Linked DNA regions of Danio rerio. The protein of the gene in region 4 interacts with the protein of the main gene of each other region in a pairwise test. Links are inferred from orthologs where the notes say so. Each region holds a gene or a part of one and is shown on either strand. Other genes may lie near its edges.

Region 1 (4,285 bases), on a different chromosome or scaffold from region 4:
AAACTGTATTTGCTATATATTTAATTGTCTCCCTAATCTTATTCTGTGGCTTTAATATAGAAGGGCAGTTTCAGTCTTAATCTCACCCATTGACAAGATAACACAAATATAAATGCAAAGTACACAACTGTTAAAGATAATATAAAGGTCATCGATAGAGAAAATAACATCAAGTAAAAATCTGCAGTCAATTGGCATCTGAATTGATAGATGTATGAATAATGTGATGGCCAAATGTGGTCACACATACTTTGAAGTTGAATTACATTTTACCCATTCAAGGGAATACATAATCACCACAATGAGAAGTGAACACAAACACACACAGATACGAGATACAAACAACTGTCACACAAAGCTCCAAGAAGACTTTTGTGTACCAAACATCTGTCAGATTATGCCGCATGTTAAAACATTAACATGAAATGAAAAACATTTGTATGTTGATTGGGTTTCTGACTTTAAAGGCTGTAAATGTGTTGTGTTAGATGTCATGTAAAATATATTTTTTTTTTTCATTGTTTAGGTTTTTTTTCACATTTTTATTGGATAGTGGAAGTTGAGACAGGAATGTGTGGGGAGCAATCAGCAAAGAACATCAAGCTTAGACTGATTTAGGTCACCCCAAGCTCTTACTAGCTACTGACACTGAGCATATAAAATATCTCAATTTGTATTCCGAAGTTGAAGGTCCCAGGGAGTTGTAACAACACAAGGATGTTAAAGGTTAGTTCTACCAAAAATTCTGTTAGTAATTACTTATAACAGATTTTTTGGTAGAACTAACCCTTAAGGGCACCTCAGTCTCGGGTACTGAAAGTGGAAGAGAGCTCTGTTCATTCCCTGCCACACTGACAACTGGTATGCAACTTTTCAAGCATGGTTGATTTAACTTAATTTCAAATTGTTTATCAAATGAAAGGTGAAAAACGAAAAAAAGTTCTTATTAATAGATTTATATATATATATATATATATATATATATATATATATATATATATATATATATATATATATATATATATACACACACACACACACACACACACACACACACACACACACACACACACACACACATATATATATATATAGCATACAACACACCAAACAATTGTATTATTTTTAAACACTGTATTATTCACCATAGTGTAAACTTTTTATTTGTTAATTTTAATATATATGCTTTTTGCTGGCTGTATGTGGGCGGAGTAATACACAAAAGGTAAAGAGGCTGTACTGGTGCTGATATTACTTAAATATATCACGGCTATCAGCCAATCAGATTCGAGGACCTGACAGAACTGTTGTATATATATAAAAATAACTCAGATTTAGCATGGTATTATAATGGTGGTGAATACATATTGTATGCTACAAACGATTTATCTTCATGTTCCTGTTAGAATAATCAAAAAGGACCCATGTGATTTAATACTTGGTTTAAATAGTGTAGGCCTAAATTGTTTGCAAATTCAGTGAAAGGGGTGATGATGGACCGTATGCTCTGAACGCATCACGTGGGAGTAAAACAGATGCATCCGAGCTTTAGCAGCACGACATCATGTGACAGCACCACATCATATGGGAGTGAAACTAGATGTGAACGCATTCTGGATCTGTCAAGACTGAGCTCTGCTTTTCTGCTGCATAACACATCCACCTGATTCAACAAAGAAGGACAAACGCAGTGCTGTAGTGCAGTGTTTTAGTGTTCCAGGCTCTTATTTTGTTTACCGGTGCTTTTCTGGTGCTTTCCGTACTGTTTTAGGAGAGAGAGAGGGAGGGAGAGAGAGAGGGCGAAGGAGCGCAAGAGGGGTGTGAAAGTGAAGCTCTATCATTCTTTGCGGACTGGAGGCTCAAAAACAGCGGAAGAGAGAAGGAGAGAGAGAGAAAGAGTGAGAGAGAGAGGAATCAATCAGCCATGGCAAATATCGCTGTGCAGAGGATCAAGCGAGAGTTTAAAGAAGTGCTGAAAAGCGAAGAGGTTTGCAAAACGCTACTTTACTATATTTTCCTGCCCGTTAAGAACAAACAGAAGGACTTTTGGCGATGAACACACAAAACCCAATGAGCTAGCCTAGCATGCTAAGCTAATGTTAGCATGAGCTGTCATATGATGGACTTAAGATACGGAAGTCACACTTCTGACAAATTTGCTTCTCTCGATGTAATAAAACGAAAACATAGACCTAAATGTTTAATTCATTCATGAACATGTCAGAGTATTGTTAAATTTGTGCTGGCACACATCGAGCTTAAGCCATGGAGCTATTTGACATAGTTAGCCGGCTAGCTTCACCAACACTTCTATAGTCTGCAATAACAGCACTCGCACTCAGTGTTTTAAGGTTGGTTTTCTGTTTTGAAATGCCCATTAGTGGTTTACTGATCGTGTTCCTACGTTTTTGTGTGTGTTGGTGTCAGTTAACAGGGCAGCTAGGATGTTCTTTTTTTAAGTAATGCAGCACCTTTGACAGACAGCATTTTTGGGAATCATAGACTCATATCATACTGTCTTTTAAGGGTGCTTATTATGTTCAGAAGACAGCTTCATAACTTGACTATACCGGTTGTTTCTTTGTTCAAGCAACTATGGTACTCCTTACTAAATACATTTTTGTTTTGCTTTTTAACAGACGAGTAAAAATCAAATAAAAGTAGATCTGGTGGATGAAAACTTCACAGAGTTAAAGGGAGAAATAGCAGGACCGCCAGACACACCATATGAAGGTAATGAGAGCCTTTACATGATGTTTCTTTAATGTTTGCTTGGAGATTAATGCTGGAGATAAGATTATAACAGGCTAACGTTTTTTTTTCTCACAGGGGGAAGATATCAACTAGAAATCAAGATCCCTGAGACGTATCCATTTAATCCACCCAAGGTAATTCAACAAGTATTCTTTCTGCTGTTTTTACATATAATATTGCCAAAATATTTTACATAGACATACTATTAAGAAAAAGGAATGTTATTAATATAAAAATAAGTAGATAATAGTGTAACATGGAATTAAAATAACACGATGAATGAATGAAAGGGGATACAAATGTTATTTATCCAAAATAAATATAAAAATATATTTTTTTATTTTGCGATATATATATATATATATATATATATATATATATATATATATATATTGCAATATGAATACAATTTTATCAATGACTTAATAACTCAATTTTTAATCTTAGATCAACTGGAATGACTCTGCAGTGGGAGTGCATCTCTATAAAATCTAAAATTAATAAATAAATAAACAATTGTTGTGATCTTTGCTATTTGCAGTGCATTTCTGTATTTGCATATGTTGTGAGTATTTTCATACATGACAATCTGTAAATGCAGTCAAGACAAAGATGTTATTCAAATAAAGGGGTTTGTTGTTTCCCAGGTCTAACAGTATTTAAGTACAGTAACTGAATGATAAAAATAAAAACCATTCAATAAGGTCACAAATAGTTCAAGTTCTTATACCCAAATGCTTTTAAAAACATTAAACAATCACAGGCGTCAAAAACATATGCACATGATGAACTATAATACAAACTCATCATTGCCTATCATGCGATGTGACTATTGCAAATGATCACATTGCGAAATCGATGCTAAAGCGATATATTGTGCAGCCCTATTATGAAGTTAAAAGTTCCATAACATTTGCATCTGGATGATCTTTGTTTATATTCATTAAGGCAGTAGTGGGTTAGTAATGTTCAGTAATCGACTGTACTGCTGTAATTTAGTTGTCTGGATTTGATTAGCATGCAAAGCCTTTTAAAGACATCGGGTTAAAGAGTTTAAGTATTTCACTTAAGTTCAATATTGATTCACATTTAGAATTAAGAGAGAAAGCTAAAAGTAATACTTTGTGAACTAACCAAACTAGACATGAGAAGAAGGATCACATGAACAACTGTTAAAGTGTTCAAGTAAATCTCTCTTCTCTTTGTCTTTAAGTCTAGAGGGGTCATTGCTAGTTTGGAGGAAAAAAAATAAAATAAAAAAAAAAAAGATCCAGATTTTATATTATTGACATTGATTATTTTTTTCCTTTGCGCCAGGCTATGATTAGTCAGAGGATATCAGACATGTTTGAAATTTTAAACAGATTTTAGAACATATACATTATCATTTGTCTTCAAGTAATGATATGAATGTTTCGTCTGCTGTTTATTATGTTCCAAATAAAATGAAAGTTTATTAACGTGTAATTCTCAGTCGTTTGATCTGCAATGCCCCAACAATTGATTAATAAACCAGTAAGTAACAGTTAAA
Region 2 (4,149 bases), on a different chromosome or scaffold from region 4:
CTGTTTCTTTTCTTGGTCTGCGCACACCTGCTCTGCTCCTCCTTTAAATATCTTCTCTGCCTCTTTGAGGCCTACTTGCTCTCTTTGTCTCTCCCTTTCTTTGTCTCTCCTTTTACCTCTGGTAACTTTAATTTTACATTTAAGCTAGGTACGATTATTATCATATGTTTTTATCGGTTCGTATTTTATAATTTTACAGTTATTTGTAATTAATTCAGTTGTAACCACTACTTTTGATATAACATCAACACTTAGTTGCTCCATATTGCAATAAAACACAATCACATAATATCAACACACTCCCACATTTTTAGCTATTAATACTGCCCTTATTTCAGTTTTTTTTTTTTTTTTTTTTTTTTGTATGAGATTGCAGAAGATTGGTTTGACTAGAAATATACAGTTTTTTTACCATGCTGATAACTTTAGTCACTCGGCAAAACTAAAGTTTAAACCGCTGTGGTTAAACCCACTCTTACATTAAAACCCCATTTTGATGATGACATCATGTAAACTTCTACAAAGTATTTTACAGTATTTTAAAATACAAAAACACAAGACATTAAAAAATAAAGACATTTTCATAAACCCTATAAAATACAAATGACAAAATACTATTTTGTATGTAAAATACGTACTTTACATGTATTATAATTATCATATATGTGCTATACCTGCTGGCACATATGTGGGAATGATGGGTGGGGAGAACCAGCTCATTTGCATTAAAGGCACAAGCAACAAAGCAAAACAGCCACAGTGTACTCAGACCATAAACTGCCCATATTCAAAAAGATACAATAAATAATCTGATTGATAGTGTAAGCTGTAACTTTAAACACATTCTGGAGAAACCGAAGACCTTTCTTAAATCTTAAAAAGGGGTAAAATAGTAGCCCTTTAACATCTTTATTATCTTTATCTTTATTTCCTTGTTTTTATTTCTTTTTTCCCCAGTTAATTTTTTTTATGTTTACATATCTGAAGATCATTTTTGTGGGTAAATAAATAGGTATAATTACGTATAATTATACTTTTTTTGTAATGTCACAATACATGACATTTTACAAACTTATTTTTTTTTTAAAGTTAAGAGAGACTGAACAAGATAACAGATAATGCCGGGTTTTCACTTTGCCCTTTATATTTGTGTTGCTTCACACCACATGACTTTATTTACTTACTTATTTACTTACTTACTTACCTACTTACTTACTTTAGATGCACCATTTTAATTACGTCAACCACTAGCCATTAGAGTGACAAATAATATCTGCTTGATGTATGCTAACACTTTTTTCAAAGCCCCAAAATAACAATCTACTGCATGCAATTTTCAATTTATTTTACTAACCCTCAACCTAACCTAACAGCCTGGTTGAAATGCAGTTGTAAAGTTATATACAGTTGAAGTCAAAATTATTAGCCCCTCTGAATTATTAGCCCCGTTGTTTATTTTTTCCCCTAGTTTCTGTTTAACAGAGAGAGGATTTTCTTAATACATTTCTAAACATCATAGTTTAATAACTAATTTCTAATAACTGATTTATTTTATATTTGCCATGATGACAGTGAATAATATTTGACGAGCTATTTTTCAAGACACTTCTATACACTTTAAAGTGATATTTAAAGGCTTAACTATGTTAATTAGGTTAACTAGGCAGGTTAGAGTAATTAGGCAAGGTATTGTATAATGTTGGTGTTGTAGTTCTGTAGAAGAAAAAAAATTGCTTAGGGGCTAATAATTTTAACCTTAAAAATGGCTTTAAAAAAATTAAAAGCTGCTTTTATTCAAGTCAAAATAAAACAAATAAGACTTTCTCCAGAAGAAAAAGTATTATCAGACATACTGTGAAAATTTCCTTGTTCTGTTAAACATCACTTGGGAAATATTTAAAAAAGAAAAAAAAAATTCAAAGGGGGCTAATAATTCTGACTTCAACTGTATATACTGAACTGAAGTATATGTTACTTCATATATATATAAGTATACGTTACTTTTGGCCAGCGGAGAAATTAAAATGGTCGTGCCCAACTGAGTCTGGTTCTCTCAAGGTTTTTTTTCTTCACTCCCATCAGGTGAAGTTTTTTTTTCCCTCTCCGCTGTTGCCACTGCCTCGCAAGGTTCAGGATTGGTAGAGCTACGCATCGATGAATTGGCTCTTCAGTGTTTGAACTCTCAGTAATGATTAAATCACACTGAACTGAGCTAAACTGAACTGAACTGAACTTAAACACTAAAACCTGAACCACACTGTTCCAGTTACTGAACCACACTGTTCCAGTTACTATGACCATTTATGTGAAGCTGCTTTGACACAATCTACATTGTAAAAGCGCTATACAAATAAAGCTGAATTGAATTGAATTGAATTGAATTGTTAAATTATTATAGTGAGCAGATCCATAGGAGTAGAGGATTTTTACCAACTATGATCTTGCCAAATCTTTTACACACTCTTCATTTTCATATGCTATCATTAGAGTTAAAAGAAGCTGACCTGAGCTTGGGAACAGAATGACCTGAGAGGACTCCTGATGGTGTCTTCTTTCCACTCTTGTTTCTCTAGTCATTCGTGATGCTACATGGTGCACAGCTCTGTTCCCTGCCTGTCGTGTTGGCAGCTGCAACACTGGCAGAGGAGGCTCATCCAACCCCAAACCTTCAAGGATCCTTCTTTTCAGCCAGCCAAGCACCATGTCACACGGTAATTCATCTCCTTGACAGGCCTGAACCGATGGAGGAGAAAACAAAGCCCACAGCATCAGGGCACAAGCAAATGAAGACAAAGAGCTTGTCCCAGTTAGCATCCTCAAAACTCAACAGAGGTTAAAAGCAGACACTGGAAATTACAAGCGCATAAACGAAAATCGATGTGTATAGAAAGTTTTTAAATATACATATACTGTAAGTTCATAAAGATTTTTTTTTTCTTGAAATTTTTCTGTTAAAAAAAGAGCTCTACAGTAATCCTTCTTCTTGCAGGTCCATGTCATAGTAAAAGAAGTCTGTGATTTTCTATCTTTTCGTTCTTTTTTTTTTTTTTTTTTTGCAAGCAAATAGCAATCATTGTTTGGGTTCCTGCTATCACAGAATGGATGGGACAAAACGACTTTTGAGATTACAGTTCTTTCCCTGTTGCTTGGCCTTGGACGGAATTGACACAGTATAACAAGAGAATTTTGAAAAAGATTTTTTTTTTCCTAGCAGAAAAAGTACATTTACAAATTTGTATCATGCTTTTATTCTCACTGCTTGGAATTCTTAAAGAATGTTAACCCTAAAACTCTAACTGAAAACTCTGTCATCATTTACTCACCCTACAATTGTTCCAAGCCTATTTACTGGTAAATAAAGATTGGAAACTACTTGATGAAAAGGAAATAGTGAGTATATTGACATCTCTTAGTGAACTATCCCTTAAACTCATTCATTAATACATTTTCTTTACGGCTTAGTCCTTTTAATAATCCAGGGTCGCCACAGCGGAATGAAACCGCCAACTTATCCAGCATATGTTTTACACAGCGGATACCCTTCCAGCTGCAACGCATCACCGAAAAACACCCATACACTCTCATTCACACAAACACTACAGACAATTTAGCTTACCCAATTCAGCTAAACTGCATGTCTTTGGACTGTGGGGAAAATCGGTGCACCTATAGGAAACCCACGCAAACATGGGGAGAACATGCAAACTCCATACAGAAATGCCAACTGACCCAGTCGAGGCTCGAACCAGCGGCCTTCTTGCTGTGAGGCAACAGGGCTACCCAGTGCACCTCTGCGCTGCTCCTCCCTTTAACTCAGGATACCCAAATTAAAAACAGAGCATTAAAACATCAATCACGTGAATGTAAATTAAACATGACATCTCCTTTACATTTCCCAGAGATGGGTTGCGGCTAGAAGGCCATCCGCTGCGTAAAAACTTGCTGGATAAGTTGGCGGTTCATTCCACTGTGGCGACCCCGGATTAAGGGACAAAGCCGACAAGAAAATGAATGAATCTCCTTTACAACTTAAAAGTAACTCAAGTGCAAATTACTTTTTTTTTTTTTTTTTGGTAATCTGTTCTCCCAAACCACATGCAAAATAGACTTTTTATATTTAAAAGAACGCTCTACTCTTTTCTTTTTTAC
Region 3 (4,249 bases), on a different chromosome or scaffold from region 4:
AACCAAACAGTTAAGTGGAACTGCAGCAGAACAAAACATTGTGGGCACGTGGCTTTGTTTGGGTGTCTAAACTGTGGAAACTAAATAAAACTGCAGGGTTTTATATAGAAGTGGCCTTTTCCTGTCTATGGACACAGCAGCTGTTTGAGTGTACAAACATATTGGACAATAACATACCTGAAGCTGCTGCTGCAGAGCTTTGATGATGAGCACATTGGCAGCTTCAGCATGAACACATGTGCATGTAAGAAATGTGATTTGTCTGAGCAGATATTTTAGGATCGTCTGGAGGAGTTGAAGAATGTGTGGCCACAAACTAGTCTATCGTCTGCTTGGATTGCAGGACGTCAGTCAGTGCTTTTGAGTCGTCCAGGTCCCCTGCGTGACCAACTCAACCAAATTGCCGCCCACTTACCGGCAGGAAAATGACAAGCCTTAGAAGATCACTAAGTTTCCCTCGCCGGAGAAAATGAGGGACCAAAGATGGTGAATGTTTCCTGTTGGAGTGGGCGGCAGAGAAGACGTGTCCCATTCTCCTACCCATCAGCAGGTTGGCACATCTGTCCTCCAGAGGTCAGTAGCACAGCGCCATCTATTGGATGAGGAGACACAATTCAATTAGCCTAAAATCATAGGATCTGACGATCAATATAAATACAATCTTCAAATGCCCATTTTTATGATGGACATTTGATATTTTACCTTCTGATCACTAATAGGTTTACACATACATACCATCGCATAATCGATATAATCCAATAAAATATGAAATTGAAAATAGTATACCCTAATATGCATTACGTCACTTTCCATTAGACTGGCTCCTTCGTTGTCTTTGTTTATTTTCCCCACACAAAGAAATACTTAGGAATAACTTTAAAGTCTTAATTCATGAGAAATCTCTTTTTATTGATAGGTGGTTTGTTTTTGTTTTGGACTAATTAAAAAAATTATGGCAATATTCTGGAATATGAGGAGTTTATGAGTTTATGGTATAATTTCCGTCTGCCAGCCACAACCTTCAATTGTGTTATATATAGTTTTGTCACCAAGTTCATTCACACATTTATTTTATTTTCGGCTTATTGTCTTTATTAATCCGGGGTCCCCACAGCGGAATGAACCGCCAACTTATCCAGCACGTCTTTACCTATATTTTACAGTCTATGGTCTTTACGCAGCAAATACCCTTCCAGCTGCAACCCATCTCTGGAAAACAATCACACACAATCATTCACACTCATACACTACTGACAATTTAGCTCACCCAATTCACCTGTACCACGCCTTTGGACTGTGGGTGATACCGGAGCACCCGGAGGAATATGCGAACGCAGGGAAAACATGCAAACTCCACACAGAAATGCCAACTGACCCAGCCGAGGCTCGAACCAGCGACCTTCTTGGCTGTGAGGCGACAGCACTACCTACTGCGCCGCCATGTCAAGTTATGTGAATTTATTTCAAATGTTTCTTTACTTCAATGAGGGGAAAACAATTACACCTAAACTTTTTTTTTTTGGATGGAGATTCTTTTTTTGATTAAAAAAAATGTGACAACCGACATGTCAGACGATTGTTACATTACTCTATACCTCCCAAAGATGTACATATTTCTGGGCCAATTCCTCTGACAGCATTCAATGGAAGAGAGCATGGTTATTACCTAAAAAATTCAGCATGTCCAACAAAGAGAGATACATTTTAAGATTTTCATATGTATATCCTACAAATTCCCAAATTGCTATTTATTTTGAACTATCTAATTTGTGTACTTTCTGTAATAAACATGAAGAGACTTTATTTCACTTATTCTATAGTTGCACTCAATCACTCACGTCTTTGGAATAAGATTTTTTATTTATCGTCCTTATTTAAATATGATTTAAATTTGTCTATAAAAGATATATTTCTGTATCTCTCAGGCAATGATCATGCTCTCCATCTTCTTGTTATTATTATTTGTTCCACTCTTAATATTTTTCACACAAAAATAAGTTTCTAAAGGCAGTCCCTAGATTTAATACTTTTACTTGCAGAAACTGAATCTCTTATTATTAATAATAAGAAAAATAAGTTTCCTAAAGCTTATGATAATCTTTTTTTTCTTAAAAATTGAGGCTTTGTAAAGTTTGTATTGTTTTCTGTTTGTTTGTTTTTTTGTTATTATTTTTTTCTTCAATGCAGTGATGTTATTATTCTTATATTCAATAATAATAACATCAAAAACGTTGTCTTTGTTCATATCCCATCTCAAAACCTCTCAAAATCTTTTCCCTTAACCTTTGGCACTTGATTTTATGTTTGTTTTAAATAGTGTGCATAGTGTGTACGTATATCTGACTCGTTAACTCGTTAGACTGTAACGTTACTGCACTTTGGTGGTTAAGTGCTTTATAAATAAAGTTTGAATGAAAGAATGAATGAACGTCAACCAAAAAATATAAAACGCAGACATTATTTAACTTACCTTGGTGTTTTTCAAGACAAGTCATGTCCTTCTGTACTCTGTGGAAAAAAAACAGCAGACAAAGCACACTATCTAGGCTAAGTTAACGTTACATGTTTGAAAATTCAGTTAAAACGTCGTGCTCGCTCTCGTCCATGACTATAGTTTTGATAAAACGTTTTAAAGGATGGTCATACACGACACAATCCATTAATTTCAAGTGTTCTGAGCGTATATGGTAAAAAATAAAACGCAATTTGATGTATTATTAGCGAAAATTCTGAACTCATCGACCGTTAATTTGCCATGCGCGTTCACGCACTCCGACCGCTGACGTGATTACTTTTTCAGCAAACGAAGTGTGTATTTACGTCACATGTTGTTTTTTATGACGTATTGTTTTTAACCTTCAATTTCTGAGCGAGTCGGAGAGAATTGCTACGCTAATATTATGGTGAACAACAGCAGAACATCAATTTAATGGCCAAGGTAAGGACTTTTGATTCAATATTTTGTTTTTTTGTTTCAATTAGGCCTACTTTAGGCTAATATAATTTTATATCACAGACATGTAAACACATTGGTAAACACTGAACATTCTTAAATCTAGATAAATATAGTAAAGAAGCAAAATAACTAAATTATACATGAATAGTTTTTGCTTTTAAAAGTGCTAGTAGTCTATGAACAATGCTGTTGTTTATCTTAAGTGATTGTAAGCTCACATTAAAATCACTGCTTTAGCTTCACTTTTAAAAACAATAATTAACAAAAGAAGAAATTAAAATGATTAATTTAACTGTGAGAAATATGCTACGCCATTTCCCTGACTTGACTGTCCATTTTTTTTTTATTTCAAGCATACTTTGATTCATTTCAATACACTTTTCAATACATTCAAATATTTTCTCTGCACACAAAGTATACATTTCCAAGGGAAAATACTTACTACTAACTTACAAATCCAAAAACAAATCAAACTTCCTTGATTTCAAGTTTCAGCATTTCTTTTATTGCATGAAAACGAATACGTGTACACATTACGTGTGAATATAGAGGCCAAAACTGCGGTGGTGCAACTTTAAAGTGCTTAAATAATGGACGACATCAAAAAAGACATCTTATGAGTGTTTACGTTCAGCCAGCTCACAAAACTGCATTTAAATAATACTCATGATAAAATCAAACACACAGACTTGTAATGTGCTTCAGTTGCTGGGTTTGCAATACAAACTGTCAAATCAAGCAGTCTTAGTGAGCCCTGTCAGTCAGAGTTTTTGACTTCCTCCAGGTGGTCTTTTCTGTTGATAAAGACCCCCTGTATGCGTGTGGCCCGCAGGACACTCTCTTCCCTATGGATGGTGAAGATGAACCTGCTGATGCCAGTGTTTGGACATGGAGAAAACACCTGGTTCATCTTAAGACCTGCGGGCAGACAGCACTGCAGATCCTCCACCAGATGACGCACAGATACGCGGATAAACGCCCCGTGACTGACCATCAGAGCGTGGACGGGTACGTTCTGTGCTCCATCGTCTGCCAGTCCAGCGATCACAGGCTGATCTGCTTCCGATGGCGCAGAGCTCAACGCAGAGCCGTGCTCCTCTAACATGCGCTGAAACAAGGATTTGAGGAACTTCTTGAAGCGAGTCTTTACCTGGAGAGACAAAAGCAGGATCTTCTGTGTGAGCATTTGGGTGCTGTTAGAAAATAATACTAAAATGACTAAACAAGCAATTTTGTAGGTCAGAAGCTGCTTTTAAATGTTTTCAGGAGAAATCTCACATACGCTCACCAATT
Region 4 (4,158 bases):
AACATTTCAAACATTTGGTAGAGATTGATATTTCAGAATTTATAGGATGTGTTGAAAAAAAAAATACATTGAGTGTGTTAATTATGACATTACGAGTTGAGAAATGTAATCCAAATATTTTTTTTCTTGGTGGGATAGGTAAAGGGTTGAAGAATCAACTTGACATGGTTTTAAGAAAGACATAAGAAATAGTTTAAAATCCTAGCAACAAATTGACATTTTTAACTAAAAACCATCTATTCAAAAATGTTTAGTTTTTTTGTTTATAAGGAATATATCCCCAGATATACAGCTGCAGGATATTGGAAAAAATGTACATTGCGATATTTACATTTTCTGCACTTTATATTGCCATTTATCTCAAGATAGCTTAATTAATAATTTTAGACACATTGGGATGGTTTTGTTGAGGAGTGCATAAAATATAATCAACAAATTACAACTGCAAATGACTATTGCGTATTCACACATTAATGCTGAAACAATATATTGTGCAGCCCTACCCAGATCATTTAATTATTACAAATTTTACTACAACTACTGCTATTGTTAGTAATATATATATATATATATATATATATATATATATATATATATATATATATATATATATATATAATAGTTAAAGACATATTTAAGTCATTCTGTGCTTGTAAGCATAAAAAGATCCCGCCAGAGAGCCTACATTTGTATATGAAGAGCTTATAAACAATAATAACAAAAAACGTTGTGAAGAATGCTTCCAAACATAATATGTATACAGTTCATTCTCCTCACACCTCACAAATGAAGGTGAAGGATTGCATTACCAAGCACCTGGACAAGGATGAAACCAAAAAAAAAAAAAATGTGTTTAACCTCATGACATTTCTAACATTCAGCAGTTCTTTTTAAAAATAAGCTTTTCTAAAAACCTGGATTTATTTTGAACAATTTCATGCAAATGTTAACCTTGCCATTAAAAATGAATTATGTTTTCACCAAAGTAGTGAACCCCTTTCTATGTTTGTGTAGGCCTGTATTTTACTGCATAGTAAAAAACACATTAAAAATCTTTCTGTCAATGTTTTTCAACAATTATATTTGATTAACCAAAGTCACACAAGTGCTAATTTCACATCCATCACATCCATAATTGAGAAATGTCATATTCATAACGAAGCTCTTTCTTCATAAATGCAAAAATGTAAAATAAAATCAATAATTTTTGTTCTACATTAAGCCAACTCTTCTCCTTGTGATTAGCATTGTTTCTTTGGGGTTGTGCCGTTTCATTCACAGAATTTCTATAAAGAATGTTGTATACTGTAAACTTGCAGACTTCTTTAGTCAGATCCAAAACGTATGTTTATTTAGCTCATTTAAATTTTTTTTTAATTACAGATTGATATTTTTTGCTCCCATATCTCAGTGGTGAGCTGTTTTGGAAAATATAAACAGATGTTTCGATATAATGTTAACATATACTTTCTATGTAAATTTAAGTTTTAAGATATTACTGCAAAAGTCACATCCACGAAATTGCATCATTTATGCATCAAAACATCTTCACAACAAGATTACCTTTAGTACAACAGGGTTAGTTACAGAAGGGATTTGACCCTATCCTATCTAGCTATTGCTTCAACCACCTGCAACTTAACCTCGTTTACTGTAATTGATAGGGGAGGTGCTAAAACGGATCCTTAAGGATAAAGAACAACAAAAACAGTACCGTCTAATTGAGTCGCAACAACGATGTAAGCATAGGATCTCCATGGCGAATTGCAGCCGCTTTGTAAACAAATCGGAGTGGTGATCGAGCAGCCAAGTTCAAGGCGTCTGCGAGCACGAAAGCTTAAAATAAATCCCATGTGTAGCATTCACGACATTAAGCTCCTTTAGGTGTCACATGCACAAGCACATCTGATGATTTTACTGTAACATGCTCGATCTGATCGTGTCGACCCTACACACAGTGTCGGCTGATGGTTAGCCTTAACGTTATGCATGTTTTTCTTTTGGGCTGACTTCTAAATCAACACCACCATATGTTATATTGACCATAACCAGTGATAAAATGTTTTCTGTAGCACATGTTGGTATCGGTCTCTGTGTTCAAGTTAACTTTTATAATGTGAGGCTGCTTTTGCACCGCAAACTAATACAGTTTCTGTCAGTCAAGCCATCTCTGTATGGCTAGAAACAGTCAAAAATGATCCGTTGACAATAAACGAGGTCTTAATCTTAGGACTGAAATATAAACAGAAATAACACGTCTGCACACATACGCTAATTACGATTGGAAAACACTGCACTGGTTGCATTACATTTGATTTCGTCACATAAACAGTGTTTCTCACTTAGCACAAGCATATAAAGCTAGCAAAGGCAGGCTAATAATGGCTACATGGACCATATATCGGCGTTTAAAATATTTAAAAAGCATTTTGTTACTGGATAAGAACCACACAGCGAATCACATTGTGTTAAAGAAAAAAATGAACTCACAAGATGTGTTTTGCTGAGGAATGCAGTAAAATTGTTGATAGCATGGTCGGCTAGCCGCTTTTTAAGCTAGCTAGCTCGCTAAGCCTAGTAAAATCAACAACAGATCCATTATCCTCGAGTGGAGGATTTAAACATTGCACTTACCTCCAGAAAATATCCCTCTGCTGCCAAACGAATTAATTGTAAAAAATAATTCACCACACGTCGGGCAGCGTTAGGTTATATGTCCGTTAATCGTTTGGTTGTTTGTGTTTCCACATTCGCTAAAAAGAGACGCTGCTGTCGCCCGGCAGTCTCGGTGTCGCGCACTGACTGAAGCTGTTGAAATATATTTTCACGGGAACGGCGCTGCAAGGATACGCGAACGCGCTTCAGACACATGAACGCGGGAAGGAGAACAACGTTGGGCCAACAACACACAGATGGAAGAAGTACTGTCCTCAGATTAGGAGTTATAAGAATATAATATTTTATTTAGACAAATTAGCACTTTGGTATAAAACAAAAATTGAATAAAACTGGATAAAAATAAACTACATATCATAGGATTTTAAAACAATAAATAAAAAACTGAAATATGATTTTAACAAGTGATCTAAATTTAATAAAACAATTAATTAACAGTAGATTAAAAAAACAAATGCAAGTTGTAGCTTAAAACAAATGATAAAAAATATAGAAAAAGTAAAAATGCAATAAATAAATGTTATTACATTATTGAAAATGTAATAAAGTTGCTCAATATAAATTTACAACGTTCCAAGATTTTTCCCATATAAATTGGGTATTTATATATTATATTTCTACATAAAGTATTATTAACATTTGATTATTGCAAGGCATCACGATGGCACGATCACCTCACAGCAAGAAGGTTGCTGTTTCGAGTATAGGCTGGGTCAGTTGGCATTTCTGTGTTGAGTTTGTATGTTCTCCCCATGATCGAGTGGGTTTACTACGGGTGCTCCAGTTTCCCCACAAGTCCAAAGACATGCGGTATAGGTGAATTGGGAAAACTGGATAAGTTGGCAGTTAATTCCGCTGTGGTGGTGACCCCAGATTAATAAAGGGAATAAGCTGAAAACAAGATGAATGAATGATTATTGGAAACACTATTTAGATAATAAAAAAAAAATTAAATTTGTATCTCACCAACACTGACTCATGTGTTAATAAAAAGAAAACAAATAATAATAATAATACATTTGTTACTGTTGTGTTAATCAGCTTTTAAAGATAGTCATTTTTCTATAAAATGGTTGTACTATTAGCTCAATGATTGGATCTCAAACACCGAAGTCGAATATGATTAAAAGACATGATTCAATAAGGCAGCTGTAGTTCGACAATGCTGAAAGATCTGATGCAGCTGGTTCAGTTTTTAATATTTTCTTGAATATGTGTTCTTGAAAAAAGCAAAAGTGGATGTTTTAGTTATGTAACCTGAAAAGTGGAGGTTGCATAGAGAGGAAACTATCTAACTTGAGCAGCCAGTAGGTGGGGGAAATGAACTGGATTCATATGGATTGTGTAATGCTAGTATAAACCCACCTTAGCACTTGCGTTATAAGGGTGTGTCTGTGATTAAAAGGCGGTCTGTTATGCAAAAATCACTTTTTATGTGTTTGTTGCTGACCCTCTTTTGAAAAGGGAACCATCTCATTTGAA

Evidence for each region. The genes of interacting proteins can lie anywhere in the genome.
Region 1: the proteins of siah1 (region 4) and ube2kb interact in binary tests that used the Homo sapiens proteins (3 or more experiments, as listed by UniProt). The link is inferred for Danio rerio from reciprocal best matches to the Homo sapiens genes SIAH1 and UBE2K.
Region 2: the proteins of siah1 (region 4) and inha interact in binary tests that used the Homo sapiens proteins (3 or more experiments, as listed by UniProt). The two-hybrid records come from large-scale screens. The link is inferred for Danio rerio from reciprocal best matches to the Homo sapiens genes SIAH1 and INHA.
Region 3: the proteins of siah1 (region 4) and rad51ap1 interact in binary tests that used the Homo sapiens proteins (3 or more experiments, as listed by UniProt). The two-hybrid records come from large-scale screens. The link is inferred for Danio rerio from reciprocal best matches to the Homo sapiens genes SIAH1 and RAD51AP1.

Annotation. Positions count from the first base shown.
Region 1 is NC_133176.1:24,896,121-24,900,405, forward strand, and holds the start of ube2kb (ubiquitin-conjugating enzyme E2Kb (UBC1 homolog, yeast)), read left to right. Parts: upstream 1-1,471; 5' UTR 1,472-1,924; coding exon 1,925-1,987; intron 1,988-2,639; coding exon 2,640-2,733; intron 2,734-2,829; coding exon 2,830-2,888; intron 2,889-4,285. UniProt on the Homo sapiens protein: Accepts ubiquitin from the E1 complex and catalyzes its covalent attachment to other proteins. In vitro, in the presence or in the absence of BRCA1-BARD1 E3 ubiquitin-protein ligase complex, catalyzes the synthesis of 'Lys-48'-linked polyubiquitin chains.
Region 2 is NC_133181.1:19,535,318-19,539,466, forward strand, and holds the start of inha (inhibin alpha chain precursor), read right to left. Parts: upstream 2,815-4,149; coding exon 2,505-2,814; intron 1-2,504. UniProt on the Homo sapiens protein: Inhibins and activins inhibit and activate, respectively, the secretion of follitropin by the pituitary gland.
Region 3 is NC_133179.1:5,640,182-5,644,430, forward strand, and holds the start of rad51ap1 (RAD51-associated protein 1), read right to left. Parts: upstream 2,815-4,249; 5' UTR 2,471-2,814; exon of another isoform or gene 2,414-2,470; intron 593-2,413; 5' UTR 416-592; intron 332-415; 5' UTR 231-331; coding exon 178-230; intron 1-177. UniProt on the Homo sapiens protein: Structure-specific DNA-binding protein involved in DNA repair by promoting RAD51-mediated homologous recombination.
Region 4 is NC_133193.1:19,824,808-19,828,965, reverse strand, and holds the start of siah1 (E3 ubiquitin-protein ligase Siah1), read right to left. Parts: upstream 2,801-4,158; 5' UTR 2,635-2,800; intron 1-2,634. UniProt on the Homo sapiens protein: E3 ubiquitin-protein ligase that mediates ubiquitination and subsequent proteasomal degradation of target proteins.